2 linked regions of the Rattus norvegicus genome follow. The protein of the gene in region 1 purifies or fractionates together with the protein of each later gene. This does not show direct contact. Links are inferred from orthologs where the notes say so. Each region holds a gene or a part of one and is shown in the gene's direction. Other genes may lie near its edges.

The links. The genes of interacting proteins can lie anywhere in the genome.
Region 2: the proteins of Stx12 (region 1) and Vamp3 purify together in Homo sapiens (affinity purification with mass spectrometry; 3 studies listed by BioGRID and IntAct, counting the BioPlex papers as one, with this or other methods). This does not show direct contact. The link is inferred for Rattus norvegicus from reciprocal best matches to the Homo sapiens genes STX12 and VAMP3.

What each region holds. Positions count from the first base shown.
Region 1 is NC_086023.1:150,371,702-150,379,336, reverse strand, and holds the start of Stx12 (syntaxin-12), read left to right. Parts: upstream 1-2,990; 5' UTR 2,991-3,068; coding exon 3,069-3,186; intron 3,187-7,635. UniProt on the Homo sapiens protein: SNARE promoting fusion of transport vesicles with target membranes. Together with SNARE STX6, promotes movement of vesicles from endosomes to the cell membrane, and may therefore function in the endocytic recycling pathway.
Region 2 is NC_086023.1:166,779,431-166,786,616, reverse strand, and holds the end of Vamp3 (vesicle-associated membrane protein 3), read left to right. Parts: intron 1-2,310; coding exon 2,311-2,469; intron 2,470-3,141; coding exon 3,142-3,193; intron 3,194-4,353; coding exon 4,354-4,370; 3' UTR 4,371-5,690; downstream 5,691-7,186. UniProt on the Homo sapiens protein: SNARE involved in vesicular transport from the late endosomes to the trans-Golgi network.

The sequences.
Region 1 (7,635 bases):
GTGTAGAACAAAGGCTCTTACCTAATACCCCATCTCCTTGGCCCTCATTTGGGGTTTTTTTTTGGGGGGGGGCGTTCAAGGCAGAGTTTCTTTGTGTAGCCCTGGCTGTTCTGGAACTTACTTTGAAGGCCAGGCTGGCCTGGAACTCTGAGATCTGCCTGCCTTAAAGGCTTGCACTACCATTCCTGGCTCCATTGTTTTTGTTTGAAACAGGGTCTCACCGTGTATTCCTTGATGGCCCAGAACTTACTGTGTAGTTGGTCTTGAATTCAGAGATCTGCCTGCCTCTGCCTTCCAGGTGCTGAGATTAAGGCTGTGTGCCACACTGTCCAGCCAAGATGCCATTGCTTTTAATCCCAGCACTTGGGAGGCAGATGCAGAGAGGTACGCAGGTCTTTGAGTTCGAGGCCAGCTTGGTCTACAAAGTAAGTTCCAGGACAGCCAGGGTTATACAGAAAAACGCTGTCTTGAAAAACAAACAAAAATTCAAACCAAACAAAATACATTTAAAGATAAAAATGGGGATGCTTTCCTTGCTGTAAAGTGTTTATAAAACCAGCAACTTAAAATGAGAATTCACACATAGTATGTGCCCCCAAAATATGATTGTTACTTTATTGAGTAATTAGGAGGGAGAGGGGCTGGAGAGACAGTTCAGCGGTTAAGAGCACTGACTGCTCCTCTAGAGGTCCTGAGTTCAATTCCCAGCAACCACGCGGTGGCTCACAACCATTTGTAATGGGATCCGATGTGCCCTTCTGGTGTGTCTGAAGACAGCAACAGTATACTCACATAATACAATAAATAAAAAAATAAATATTTAAAAAAAAGAGAGGAGGGAGAAATAAAAGTACTTTGAAACCCTTAAAACTCACCAATCGGCTATAGATCTGAACGTCAAGGTTGCTTAATTTGCCTATATTTGAGCCTGGGTTCTCAGAATAGAGCAGAAAAGGAAGTAACGGTTGGGGTAATCTGGCACAATTTAATGTAAATCAAAATTTCTTGCATGATGACCTGGACTTTGGGGAGATACAACATGGGTAGGAAAACTTGTCCAAAGGCATCTCCTATTTCACTTCATTGTCCTGTCTAGCATGTTCCAAACCTGGAGAGATCTGATACTTAAGTCACTATTTATCTGGAGTCAAAGCACTTGTACTAATCATGGCGGTTGTCTGGGGAAGCCCTGAACATTGAATGAAGGGACCTTCATGTTACTGAAGTTGAGACACTGAATTGAGGCAGCATTGGTGATCTTAAAACCTACTTCCCCAAACGTGCTTGGCTTCTAGTAGTGAGAACAGATAAGATTAGATGTAAGCCCTTCCAAGGAGAATGGTGCCTCGATTTCAACTAGGGTCTCCCCAGAGACAGCATCTGGAAGAGGCTTTTCTAACAGCAGGAGAGGACAGGATCGATGTCACCACAGAAAGCTTCCAACTTAGCCGCCTCTTTTTCTCCTGAGCTCCTCAAATGATTAGTAAGGCTTCCGTGGGATTTGTGGGGCTGGTTCATATTGTAGCTTATACCATGTGACCAGTTGTCAGACCCAAGATCTCTCGCCCCCCGCAGCTAACTGCAGGTGTTTGGGGTGTGATGTGGGTAGCTTGCCTCCACCTGAGTGTCCCTGATCTCTCTGATGAAAGAATATACCTTTTCATCAATTACCTGACACTTCAATTTTTCATCCTTGAAAAGGCAAAGTTTGGGGCTGGAGAGATGGTTGAACAGTCAAGAACACTGGCTGCTCTTCCAAAGGACACAGGCTCAATTCCCAGCAACCACACAGCAGCTCACAGCTGTCTGTAACCCCAATTCCAGGGCTTCTGACACCCTCACATAGGCAAAACACCGCTGAGCATAAAAATAATTAAAATAAAAGGAAAGGAGCAGTTTATGGTGTCTATCTGGAGTTTCACCAAAAACATGGCTTATGGCAACTCCGTGGCCCAATCCTCTGGCGAATGTAAGTCTCTGGTCTGTCTTGAAATACTGGGAGAAGAATGCAAAATCATATTCATGCCTCGGGGATCAGGAATGAATTTTTTTCTTAGAACTTTTCCCATAACCTTTTGAATCAGAAAGTCTCTTCTTCCCTTTTACACATCCAGAGTCGGAGTCGGGAGTCAAGCAGTTAGTTATCTGTCACAGGAGGAGGGGCTTTGATGTAGTAGGAGAGGCTGGGGAAGGCAGCCCAGTTTTCGTCGGTGTGGTGCACATTTTAAGTTGGTGGGCTGTCAGCCAAATGCGATCTAACTGGCAATATATCTCATGACTGAATTCCGCAGGAAGGGAATGTTTTTTATTTGTTGGTTTTGTGTGTGTGTGTGTGTGTGTGTGTGTGTGTGTGTTTCGAGACAGGGTTTCTCTGTGTCACCTTAGCTGTCCTGGAACTCACAGAATGGCCTGTATACCAGAATGGCCTCAAAGTTAGGAAATGATATTGACAATGTTCCAGAATCCCTTGAAGTGGGTAAGCACGGAGTACACCGTGTTGGCGGTTGGTTTCGGTAGTAACTTCATTCTTGTTAGAAATGTAGGTGTTGAACAGTTTTCACCATCGAATTCTGTCGGGTACAACAGAATTGTACTGGTCCAATCCCATGCTCGTGCATTCACCTCTGTTTTGCCATGGGTTGAAAAAGCGAGAATTTGCAGGGTGGCTGAGCAGCAGTGCTGCGCCGAGCAGCAGGATGCGGACGAGCATGTTGGTGGCAGGCAGGTTGTTGAGCGCGGGGCACGCCGTCTGTAGGAGACTGGGGTAAGAAGTCAGGTCCTGAGTTGGCTGCATAGCTAGAGGTGTCCAGTCTTGCGAGAACGCTTACTCCCAGCAGTTTGAAAACTCTCAAGACACTACCTACCGTCAGTTCCAGCAGCACACGCGCACTGCGGGATGGGGCGGGGCGTGCGCATGCGCACCGCAATGGGCGGGGTCAGTGTGTACGCAGTCACGGCCCCTTCCCCGCCCTCTCTCTTCCCGGTTTTCCTCTCAGCTACTGGGCCCGGTCAGTGGCAGCTTCCGGTAGGAGCGCCGTGAAGCGCGACCCCGGTCTCTGCTCCGTGTCATGTCCTACGGTCCCTTAGACATGTATCGGAATCCCGGGCCGTCGGGGCCTCAGCCCCGTGACTTCAACAGCATCATCCAGACATGCAGTGGCAACATCCAGCGGATCAGCCAAGCCAGTGAGCGAGGGGACCCAGCCGGGAGCGGGGGTGCGGCCTCAGGGACAGGCCTGGGTGAAGCTGCTAAGACGCGGAGCCGGATCGGGGCCTCAGCTACGGCCAAACCTGAGGCAGCCGCGAGCCTCCACTCCCGGCGCGGCGAGCTGCCTTCTCCCGGGTCGGTCAGGCTCGGGCCCTTTAGGTCCACACCCCTGTCTTCGGGGTTGTGAGTTGACGGTGCTGGGGGTCAACAGAGCCGACAGCCAGAGGGTGGGAGAGAGTGTGTGTCATCTCTAGGACTGTGAGCACAGGGTTGACATGGCGCAGTGGTCAGCCGAGTTTTTCCAGTCGTCCCCGTCTCCCCACCCACCTTGTTTTCCTCAGTTCGGATCAGGGGGGTGCTTACTGGTTGCGACTTTAGGTTCACATTCTGCTCGGCGGTTGGGTCCTCGGACATCAGCAACTTTCAATTAAGGGAAGTGGAGAATGCGTGCATTTTGGGTGATTTAACACACTGTGCTTCCTGGTAATTAATCTGGAAATCAGTCAATGACTGGTATTTAAGGGGGGAGGGACTCCTGTTTTATGGCGGAGAATGCACCGGGAACATTTTAGTTTAGGTTGTCTTTTGTAGCAAAGACGTTTTTAAAATTTCAAAACATGAAGATTTCATTTTCTGCCTGGTACAAAGTCAGTTTGTAACTGCTTACCTTAAAACTCCCTTCTCACCATTAAAGTGTAAAGTGGTTTTTTGAGCCTCAGAATCGGCCCAGAGCCTTGTAAACAGAACAACAGAAGCAATTTTACTTTTAAAATAGTGACAACCATCTATGGGGTTTATCATTGTGTTTTTTTGTGAGCTTAGCTATACTCTGTTAATAGGTAGAGTCAGTTCTAAATTACAATTATGTCCTAAACTTTAAAACATAAGCTATCACTTTGCTTTTACTTTAATTTTTGAAACAGTTTTTCGATAGCTCTGACTGCCCTGCAACTCATCCTGTAGACCAGGCTGGCTTCAAAATGAGAGATCCACCTGCCTCCCAAGTGCTGGAATTAATAATGTGCACCACCACACCCAGCTTGTTACTTTGCTTTTAAATCTAAATGTATACTGTAGAATTTGAGAGGTAGATGATTTCAGGTGGGAAGGGTTAGATTTGGAGGTAGGAAGGATAGTCAGCTTGTCAACCCAGATATTAAAAACACAATAATACTATTGATGACTAGACAGACAGTATGGTACTTTGTGTCCCAGTTTCCTTTTATTTTGGAGCTGTAATACAGGTTAAATCAGAAATTTCTTATTCAAGGGGCTGGCAAGATGGCTTAGGTAAAGTGCTTGCTGCGAAGGCCTAACAACCTGATTTGAGCCCCAGAACCCAGATAACGTGGAAGGAGCAAATTGACTCCACAGAACTGTCCTCTGACCTCCACACTCATCCATACTCGTTCCCTGGCACATAGAGTGTGTGTTTATATTAATTTGTGTGTATATTCCACATATCATAATACAATAATAATAAAAAAATTTTAAAGAGAATTTTGTGCAAGGTGTTGGTGGGGCAGACCTTTCATTCCAGCACTTGAGAGGTAGAGGCAGGCAGATCTCTGAGTGTCAGAGGCTAGCCTGTTGGTAGCGTTCCAGGACAGCCAGGGCTATACAGAGGAACCTTGTTTTGAACCACCAGAAAGAAGAAAAAAAAAGGGGGTGTGAGGGAGAAAGAAAGAAAAATTGTGTTTTCTCAAGACTGGAGTTTTCTCATTGACACTAACCTAGTTTGAATGTCTATCTGTGGGTATTTCATATCTGAGCATTAAGTTGTATAGTAAGCTTAGGAACTGATACAGATTCTTTTAATCACAAGTCTGTGTTCACTTAAATCAAAATTTAGAGTTGAAACTGGGCATAGTTGGCACACAATAGCATTTGAGAGGCCGAAGCAGGAGGATTATCATTACTTAGAGGCAAATCTAGACTGACTAGTGTGTTCAAGGCCATCCTGGGCCACATCTGAGTCTCTTTTCAAAAGGAAAAAGGGATAAGAGGAAGGAGGAACAGAGAAGGGGTTTAAAACCAAAGCCTAGGTGTGATGAGTCAGGTCTGTAACCCTGGCTCTCAGGAGACCAAGGCAAGACAGTTTCCATGGGTTCAAAGCCAGCCTGAGCTATAGAGTGAGTCTTAAAGCAAAACAACGAAGAAAGGTGATGGTGGGGAATAGGAGTGGTTTTCTTGGTGATAGATACTGATTTAGTGCTGATTAGGCATTGGATCCTTAGAGTCAATAATTAATAATGTTACTAGCTGCTGTTTAAGTACATAGTGTGCTAGGCCATATGCAAAGTGCTTTACATGTAATATCCTAACCGGTAACAGCCCTGTAGAGTAATTACAAATATTCCTAGGTTATGAGGTAGGAAACAGGCTGAGAAAAGTTAAAGAATTGCCTAGCTGGGGCTGGAGAGATGGCTCAGTGGTTAAGAGCACTGACTGCTCTTCCAGAGGTCCTGAGTTCAATTCCCAGCAATCACATGGTGGCTCACAACCATCTGTAATGGGATCCGATGCCCTCTTCTGAAGACAGTGTACTCACATAAAATAAAATCTTTAAAAAAGAAAAAAAAGAAAGAATTGCCTAGCTGAATGTGTGTTTTTCATTTCTTTTTGTTTTTTCTTTGTAATATACTCATCTTCTCTGCTAGATTGTTAGCTGTTTGAGGTAGGAAACATGGTTCATTCATCTTTGTTTTTCTGCTGTTTACCTCTGTCCCAAGCATATGATGGGTTCTTTCACTCAGGGTGCAGCGACCATTCTTTGAGCACTGATGTTCACTGGTAAGGAGCAGAGAACGAACTTCTGCATGACATCGTGTGGATGTTTGCATGCATTTACCAATAATATCAAGTCATAGCAGGTGGTGCGAAGGAAATGGAGCAGGCTAAGTGCATGGAGGGAAGGGAGAATTACCATCCCCTGGTGAGGACAGCCTCTCTCAGGAGATGATTTATTTTTTCTAAGACAGGGTTCTCTGTGTAGCCCTGGCTGTCCTGGAACTTGCTCTGTAGACCAGGCTGTCGTCAAACTCAGAGATCCACTTGCCTCTGCCTCCTAAATGCTGGGATTAAAGACCTGCACCACCACTGCCTGGGTAGGATGATGCCTGAATCAGCAGATACCAGAATGGAGGGAGCTTTGTGAGTGGTGGAGAAAGGCAGTGTGTGCTGAGGGCAAATGCAAGGACTTTCAGGGGACAAAGAGTAGCAAGGAGGCAGGCGTGGCTGGATGAAAGGCAGGGAGTAAAGAAGGAAAAGACACCAGAGTGGTAGCCGGGGTCAGGGCACATGAAAGCTTACTAATTGTTTTCAGTTAATTTGAGGGGATGAGGTTTCCCTGTCATTTTGTTTGTTTGGCTTGGTTTATTTTGTGTTTTGAGACAAGGTGTCTCTGTAGCCCTGGCTGTCATGGAACTTGCTCTGTAGATAGACCAGGCTAGCTTCAGACTCTGCCTCCTGAGTGCTTTTTTGTTTTTCGAGACAGGATCTCACTGTGTAGTTCTGGCTAGCCTGAACCTGGCTATGAAACCAGACTGGTCAGGAACTCATAGAGATCCACCTGCCTCAGCCTCTAGAGTGGTGGGACTAAAGGGATGTGCCTATACCAGTCTCTACATTATTAACTGAAAAGCTAAGATCTTTGAACTTTTCGAGGTTTGTTAACTGAGTTTAGATTTTCCCTCAGCTTCTTGGTAGTTTTGTAATGTTTCGGTGAATTTTGCTTTACCTCTCCTGCTGTCTCCTCATCTATGGTTATAATTATTTCATAGAGTTCTGAGAACTGAGATAATTTGCGTGAAATGCTAAGACAGTGCCTGCTACAAAGCGGGTTCCTGTAATTCTCACCCTTGGGAAGTGGAGGCAGGAGGCTGGAGTTCAAGGCCAGCCTCAGCTACATAGCAAGTTTGAGACTGGCTTGGCTATGTGAGACCCTGTCTTAAAAAGGCAAACAGTACCTGCCCCCTACTGAGTGAATACACAAAACATGTTTTCTGTCATTTGGTTCTTTTTGATTAAACATAACAAGCCAATTTTTCTCACAGTTTAATACCTACTTAAATTCTATATTCCTTAATTAAGCCAAGCTTTTTGACCTTGTCCCTAGAGCAGTACTAGTTTGGTGGGATGAAGGACTAGGCATGACACACTTCTCTTTGGACAGTGCCTGGCACAGCAGTGGAATGTTGGCATTTAGTATGTACTTAATTGATTTTTATCGTTGCTAAGTACATTCATTCTTCTTGGTCTTGAGTTTGATAATAATAGCCGTCCTTAGCTGAGTGCTTTTATGTGGCAGACAGCATTCTAAACTTAGCCCATATCATCTTATTTCATCCTCACATCAACCAAAGGAAGTGTCCCTTGTTACTCCCACTTCTTAGGTGAGGAAACAGGACAGAAGAGTGTCATCGTTT
Region 2 (7,186 bases), about 16 Mb from region 1:
ACTACAAACTCTAAGATGAAATAAGCCTCTGCGGCCCGAGGTTGCTTTTGCTTTTGGTCATGGTGTTGTAGCACAGCAACAGAAAAGCTTTACTGTTTTACTTCTAAGAATGTTTATAGTCTTAGCACCTAAACTCAGCTCCCTGGTCTGTCTAGTCTTTCCTTATGGAAAGACTCATTTAGGTACTCCATTTGTTGGTCTTAGCATCTCTTTGAATGGCAGCCTCAGTATTGCTCAGTGGTAGAGCACTTGGCTATCCTATACAAGCATCATTGGCACCAAAGCAGATCAGTCAGTAAATAAATCAGTTCATTTGGCTGTAAACATGTATGTAGGCTCTCAGTGTTCTCTCTTCCTCGCTGCTCTCACTGTACCGCTACTACAGCTTTGATTATTCTAGCTTTGTGGTGAGTTTTGAAATGACTATTATAACTCTTTCTTTTAATATTGGTTTATTTATTCTCAGTTTTTTTGAGCTTACATGTGGAAAAAAAACACCGGAGTGGGAATTACATGACAGTCTTCCTGAGGGAAACGGCTGTTGGGATTATATTGACTCTGTAGGTCACTCTAGGAGTACTGCCATCTCCACAGTATTAAGTCTTCCAATGTGCCAACGTGGATGTCTTTCCCGTTAGTAATACTTTAATTCTTCTCTCTGTCTCTCTGTGTCTGTCTCTGTCTGTGTCTCTGTGCGTGTACATGTGCGTGTGTGTGTGTTGCCTTAGCCTCCCAAATAGCAGGTATGTGCTATTGTACTCAGCATAGAGCAGTGTTCTGTGTTGTTTTGGCTTCTCTTTTGTGAATGGGTGTAGCATATGCATGTGTGTACACATGTGGCCAGAGGTCAAAATCAGGGATTTTCTTCTATTTTCTTTTCTTTTCTTTTTTTTTTTTTTGGTTCTTTTTTTCGGAGCTGGGGATCGAACCCAGGGCCTTGCGCTTCCTAGGCAAGCGCTCTACCACTGAGCTAAATCCCCAACCCTTCTATTTTCTTTATACCTTAATTTTTGAGGCAGGGGCCTACACTGAACCCATAGCTCAGCTGTTGACTAAACTAGTTGACCAGTGAGTCTCTGGGATCCTCCTCTCCCTGCCTACCCCAGGGCTGGGTTACAGGAGCAGACTGCCACACCTGTTTTGTCCTGTGAGCATTCCACACCCAAACTCAGGTCCTCATGTTTGTGCAGCAAGCCTTTCATCCAGCAGACCTACTCAATCTAATGTATAGTTTCTTTATTCTGCAAGACTTCCAACTCTGTAATTATATTGCTTATGATTTATTTTTGAGATTTTTTGGTAAAGACACTGTTCTCTTAATGTCCTTTTTGGATTGCTCATTGTTGGCATGAAGAAAAGCAACTAATAAGTGTTTATCTTAGATGCCGCAACTTGACTGAATTTATTCCTTGTAGTTTTTGAAAAATTCTGTTAAATATCTCTATTTAGTGTGCACGTGTGCATGTGCTTTCACGTGCACTGAAGAGGGAAGGTACTTCACTCAGCAGGCACAGGTATGCTATGGAGGTCAGAGGACAGCTTTCTTGAAGTTGGTTCTCTTCTACCTTGCTAAGGTGATGTCTCTTGTTTCTGCCATGCTGTGCTATGAAATGCAGGCTAACTGGCCCGTGAACATGCGGGCGATTCTCCTGTCTCCACCTCGCATCTTGCCTTAAGGGTGTAGGAATCACTAATGGGCACAGACCACCTGGCTCTAACAATAACTGGTGGTGGGAACACACAATGCATGCACCACATGCAGAGGTCAGAAGACAGACCACCTGCAGGATGGGTTTCCTCTCTTCATCGTGTGGGCCCAGAGGTTGAGCTCAGGTCATTAGACCTGACAACAGGGACTTTACCTGATGAGTCATCTCTCCAGCCTCCTGTGAAGGAGTCTTATGGGTTCTCTGTAGAGTTTTACATGTGGCGTACATAGTTGTTATATTCCTCCTTTCCAACCCAGATGCCTTTCTTCCCTTGACTAATTGCCCTAACCAGGACACCAGGGTAGTGTTGAACAGCCAGGAAAGTGAAGCACCCCGTTGTTCTGCTTCAGATCTTAGAAGGAAGTTGAGTCTCTCACCATAGCATGTGATACTAATGTGGGTTTCCCTGTAAGTGCCCATTATTGAAGTTCCCTTCTATTCCTGGTTTGCTGAGTGGATTTTCCACAAAGGCTGGGCCTCCTTTTGAGTCGAAAGTTTAGCTCAATAAAGTACTGACCTGGGGAAAATACAGTGCCCATAGATTTCATGTGGAGTTTTGTTCTCCTCTCCTTTCTGTGTAACTGTGACCATGTCCATTTAGGTGGTGGACATCATGAGAGTCAATGTGGATAAGGTGTTAGAAAGAGACCAGAAGCTCTCAGAGCTAGACGACCGCGCAGATGCACTGCAGGCAGGCGCCTCGCAGTTTGAAACAAGTGCTGCCAAGTTGAAGAGAAAGTATTGGTGGAAGAACTGCAAGGTAATGTGACAGACCTTCACAGCGGCCTCTCCATTCCCCGAGTGTCACACGGGCACACTGCTGCATTGGGGGACTCTGGGTAGTGGGTAGAACCTGGGCCAACTGTGAGTCTGCATCCCTATTCCTTGCCCACAGCTGGGAATCTAATCCCATGTTTTGTGGCTAAAGTTAGAAGCCATGCAGAATCAGACTGCTCAAAGCAGTCAGGAGGAATAGACCCCAGCCCAGGTACCTGAGAACACACTGATGGGGGCGTTGGCTTTGATGCTCAGTTTGCTGCCCATTCTGGGAATGGCTCCAATTTCAGAAGTTAAATGCTAAGAAACCCCACCTTGTTCAACGAGAGGAGAAAGCAACATCTGAGTATCGTCCAAATCAGACTTAGCAAATGAGAAAGTCAGTCTGTGACCAGAGCTCAGACACTTCCTGTCATGCTTTGTGTAGAAGGGACACTCTGAGATGATGGAACAAGATCAGGAACCTGTGCGGAAATGTTTGTCTTTCCAGGGGTCACAGAGGATTGGGATACACGTCTGAAAGCCCATAACTAAATTTCAGGCCATAACTGAAAATACAGAATTTAGGCTTTTGAAATGATATGTTATTCCATGCTGTAGCTGCTGCGGCAAGCCCTGTCTGTTTTGCAGTGTTAATGGATCTGTCTCGTTGCAGATGTGGGCGATAGGGATCAGTGTCCTGGTGATTATTGTCATTATCATCATTGGTGAGTTACCCCTGGTCATCGAGGGTCGCCTGTGCAGCAGCAAAGGGCGGATTCAGTCCGAGGCTTAAATACTGTTCTTTACCAAATGCGTATTTTGAGATGGTGGTATTGAGGGAAGTTTGAGGCAGGGTCTCAGTGTTCATCCCAGGCTGGCCTTGAACTTGTGATCTTCCTGCCTCAGCATTTCAAGTGCTAGGATTATAGGCATGTGCCACCAAACTGACCCTAAATAATTGAGTTTTATAACTAAAGTCTGGTGTTTTGTTTAGATAGATGGGTGGCTAGATGGCTGGCTAGATGGATAGGTGGATGCATTCATCCTCTAAGAATAGCAGATCTCATTCCTACTATGTGGTCAATTTTTCTCTCCTATGTCTGTTGCCTTTCGAGGAATGTAGTGATTAGCTGAGACTACCTTGATCCATCCCAGCTCTGCCACCTGTAGTAGAGGTTCTATGGCCTTGGGCAAGCAGTCGGGTCTATCCGAGCCTCGGGGTCCTCATGAATAAATGAAGATAGTAATGGCGTCCACCTTGTGTTGTTAGGACAGACCTGGGTGCTACATAAGAAATCACCTGGCATAAGAGAACAGGAATAGTAACTATGTCAATAATATATATAGACAACAGGGCATGTTAGATAGTACATACAGTACATAGTACATATAGTGTATATATAGACAACAGGGCATGTTAGATAGTACACACAGTACATAGTACATATAGTATATATATAGATGACAGGGCATGTTAGATAGTACATACAGTACATAGTACATGCAGTGTATATGTAGACGACAGGGCATGTTAGATAGTACGTACAGTACATAGTACATACAGTATATAGGTAGCACATAGCTACTACCACCACTCTCATCGCTATATATTAGAACTCATTCTGTTTTTAGTCCAGTCTATGGGAACGTCCTAGCAAAGCATGCCTTCTTTGCTCGTTAATGTTAGTAGGTATTTCCTTTTCCTCTTTTGATTTCAGTCTTCCCCAGAATCCTGTAGTATGTAAAGAAGCTACCAGTAGAAAACTGGCCAAATCAATTTCTGTTTGCCCCTGTTTAGACAATAGAAACCCCTACTTAGTATCTACACAGAAAGACTAAACTGCCCTTTTCCTTTCCTTGTTTCTAAATTTTCCCTGCCTTTTAGTGTGGTGTGTCTCTTAATGAAGAACAGAGGAAATGAAGCCTGACGGCAGGATCTTCTTCGAGACTTTCTACTTAGAACTGCGTGTTGTCGCACTTCCCTGTTGTTTTTTTTTTTTCCCAAATGATTATTTGTGTTAGTTTACATACAGTTCAGTGCCTAGAAAATGTGCCTTTGTTTTTCATATACACTCGAGGTGTGACCTGCCCTGCCCACATTTTGCACAGTGCCTTTACAGATTTATGGACTGGGAAAGAGGACTTGTGTGTTTCAGAGTGCTGAGATCTAGGTGGATGTTGTCACTGATGGCTTGTGGATTCAAGGAAGAGGATTTTGTTCAAGTCAGCTGTCCCCACACCTAACATGGACTTCAAAACCACAGTTTAAACCTTTGGGTAATTAGATTCCCAACTTGGACCTTCCAAGAAGAACACTACTGCCTAACAAAAATCAGTGACAACAGCAGGGCGTGCCTTATTTTGATAACTAGGTAACTTTTCATTAAGAGTACTTTTGTAAGCACTACCGACCCCGCTGTATTTAAGATGCTGGTGAAGAGCTCATGCTCTTATGTTAGATACGGAGATGTTCACTTTCTAGTTCTTGTTGTGTATCACTTCTAAAACAGTATTTTAATCAGAAATAACCCTTTAGGAAGTTTTTATAGAACTGTGACCAAAGTTTCTATTTTGCCAAAAGTTAAATACAAATGAATTGTCCATAAGTTTGTCCCCCAGTAGTAAATTCAAATAAGTGCCAAGTGTAACTCAAGGTGCCCTTTAAGAAAAAATGTTAGTACTGTCTGAGCCCGCAGCATCTTGACAGTCCTTCCTGTGGAATGCTGTAGGTACAGCTTCTCATCCTGATGTGGTTTCTTTCCTAGAGCGATAGAGGTGACCTCAAATCACACCTGTATGCAAGATAGTAGTTTGCAGACTGCACTAGCCTGTGGCCACTAGTGTGATGAGAGCAGCATCTGAAGCCTCACAAAGGCAACAGTCTGCACAGAGTTCTGGGAGACTGTGGCAGTGCCACCAGGATGTCCTGAAATGTGTGTCTGTGTGCAAAGCAGCATTAGCCAAAATGTCATAGGATCTGGTTCTAGTTTTTTTTATCTGATCCCCTAACATTACTGAAACAAAACAAGTGTTGAAGACATGCCTTGCCACATAGCTAGGGCCTCTGTCCTGGTCTGACCCCACAACTTTGGTGCTGTCTCCTCGTACTCTGTCCCATGTAAGTCGTTGGCTCCTGTATTAACACAGTAATACCTCGCTTCTCTGTGCATTTAGCTGGGAATGTTCCCGCTATGGTGACCGGAATAAAGTTATTAACATGAACCTGTGTCTTGTTTCTTGGAGTGGAGTGGGGGATATACCTGATGCATGTCCTAAACTTCTAACCCTTGATGTTCTCCCTCGCTCCCTGACAAACTACCTTTTTTCTGCTCTATTCTCCTAGGAGTACATAGTCCTTAGGGTTCTCTAGAGCAACAGAAGATAAGATGAAGTGTGTGTGTGTGTGTGAGAGAGAGAGAGAGAGAGAGAGAGAGAGAGAGAGAGAGAGATTTTTAGATTGGCTGATGTATATGGTCTACCTCACACTGAGGAAGCTATGAAGCTGATAGCTGCTTGGTCCATGGGCCTGAGTGATCAGAAGTTCCCATGTGGCACTGCTGGCCTGGGGGATTCCTGGCAAACATCTGGTGTTCAGCCCGTGCAGAAGCCATGATAACACGTTGAGTTCTGATAACAGCAGAGTACAGCAGCAGCAGCAAGGTGGGTTAATTTGCCTGTGAGTGAAGGCAAAGAGCAGAGCTTCACTCTCCCATCTTTATCTGGACGGCCACCCAAGGTCGCTGCCTACATTTAGGATACGCCTTCCCCACTTCACACAGTCTGAGCAGGGAAATCATCAGGAATACCTGGCAGGCTTCGGCTTAGTTGATTCCACACCCAACAGTCAACAACTGAAATTAACCATCACATACCTTAAACGAAAAGGGCTTTTCAGAGCAGAGAAGAGTCTGTAGCTGATTTGGAGTTACCAGACCAGTCAGGATTTGGCCATTGGGCTGCTTTTTTTTTTTTTTTTTTTAAGATTTATTTATTTTATGTATTTGAATACACTGTCACTGTCTTCAGACACACCAGAAGAGGGCATCAGATCTCACTACAGATGGTTTTGAGCCACCATGTGGTTGCTGGGAATTGAACTCGGGACCTCTGGAAGAGCAGTCAGTGCTCTTAACTGCTGAGCCATCTGTCCAGCCCACCATTGGGCTTCTTAAATACAGTCTTCTGGAAGTGATCTGTAGAGCTGACCCTGGTACACCACATAGCCACCAATCACATAGGTCAACTTGGATGGGTGAGGGATGTTCCAGATGTGTGGCTTTTCTCTACATCTGCCTGCCTTTGAATACATTCTTCCTCATTTCCCAACTCTTGCAAACAATGTAATGTGGACCAGGTAGGTTTTTGTTTATGTTTGCAACGCCAAAGTCTAAATACTTTTCCTTAAGCACAAGCTCCCATCAGTCTGGCCCTTCCTTTCTCACCTGTTCTCATGTTAAGGTTCTTAATGACTAAACTGCTCTGCACAAGGATGGCCTGGCAGGGTCAGTGCTGTTCAGTTCTGTTGGCCCACTCATTTCCCTGAGCCCAAGGCATCACACAGATTCAGTTCCCCTTCTCAATAGCCTTCCTTTATCCTCCAGCGTATTCCCCAGGGCTCATCCCTCCTTCCTTAACCTCTGTCTTTCCCATTCCACTAGCTTATTCCTTACCAGCATCTCGGGCTTTCTCGACTTTGAGGCATCATCCGTGTGTTGTAT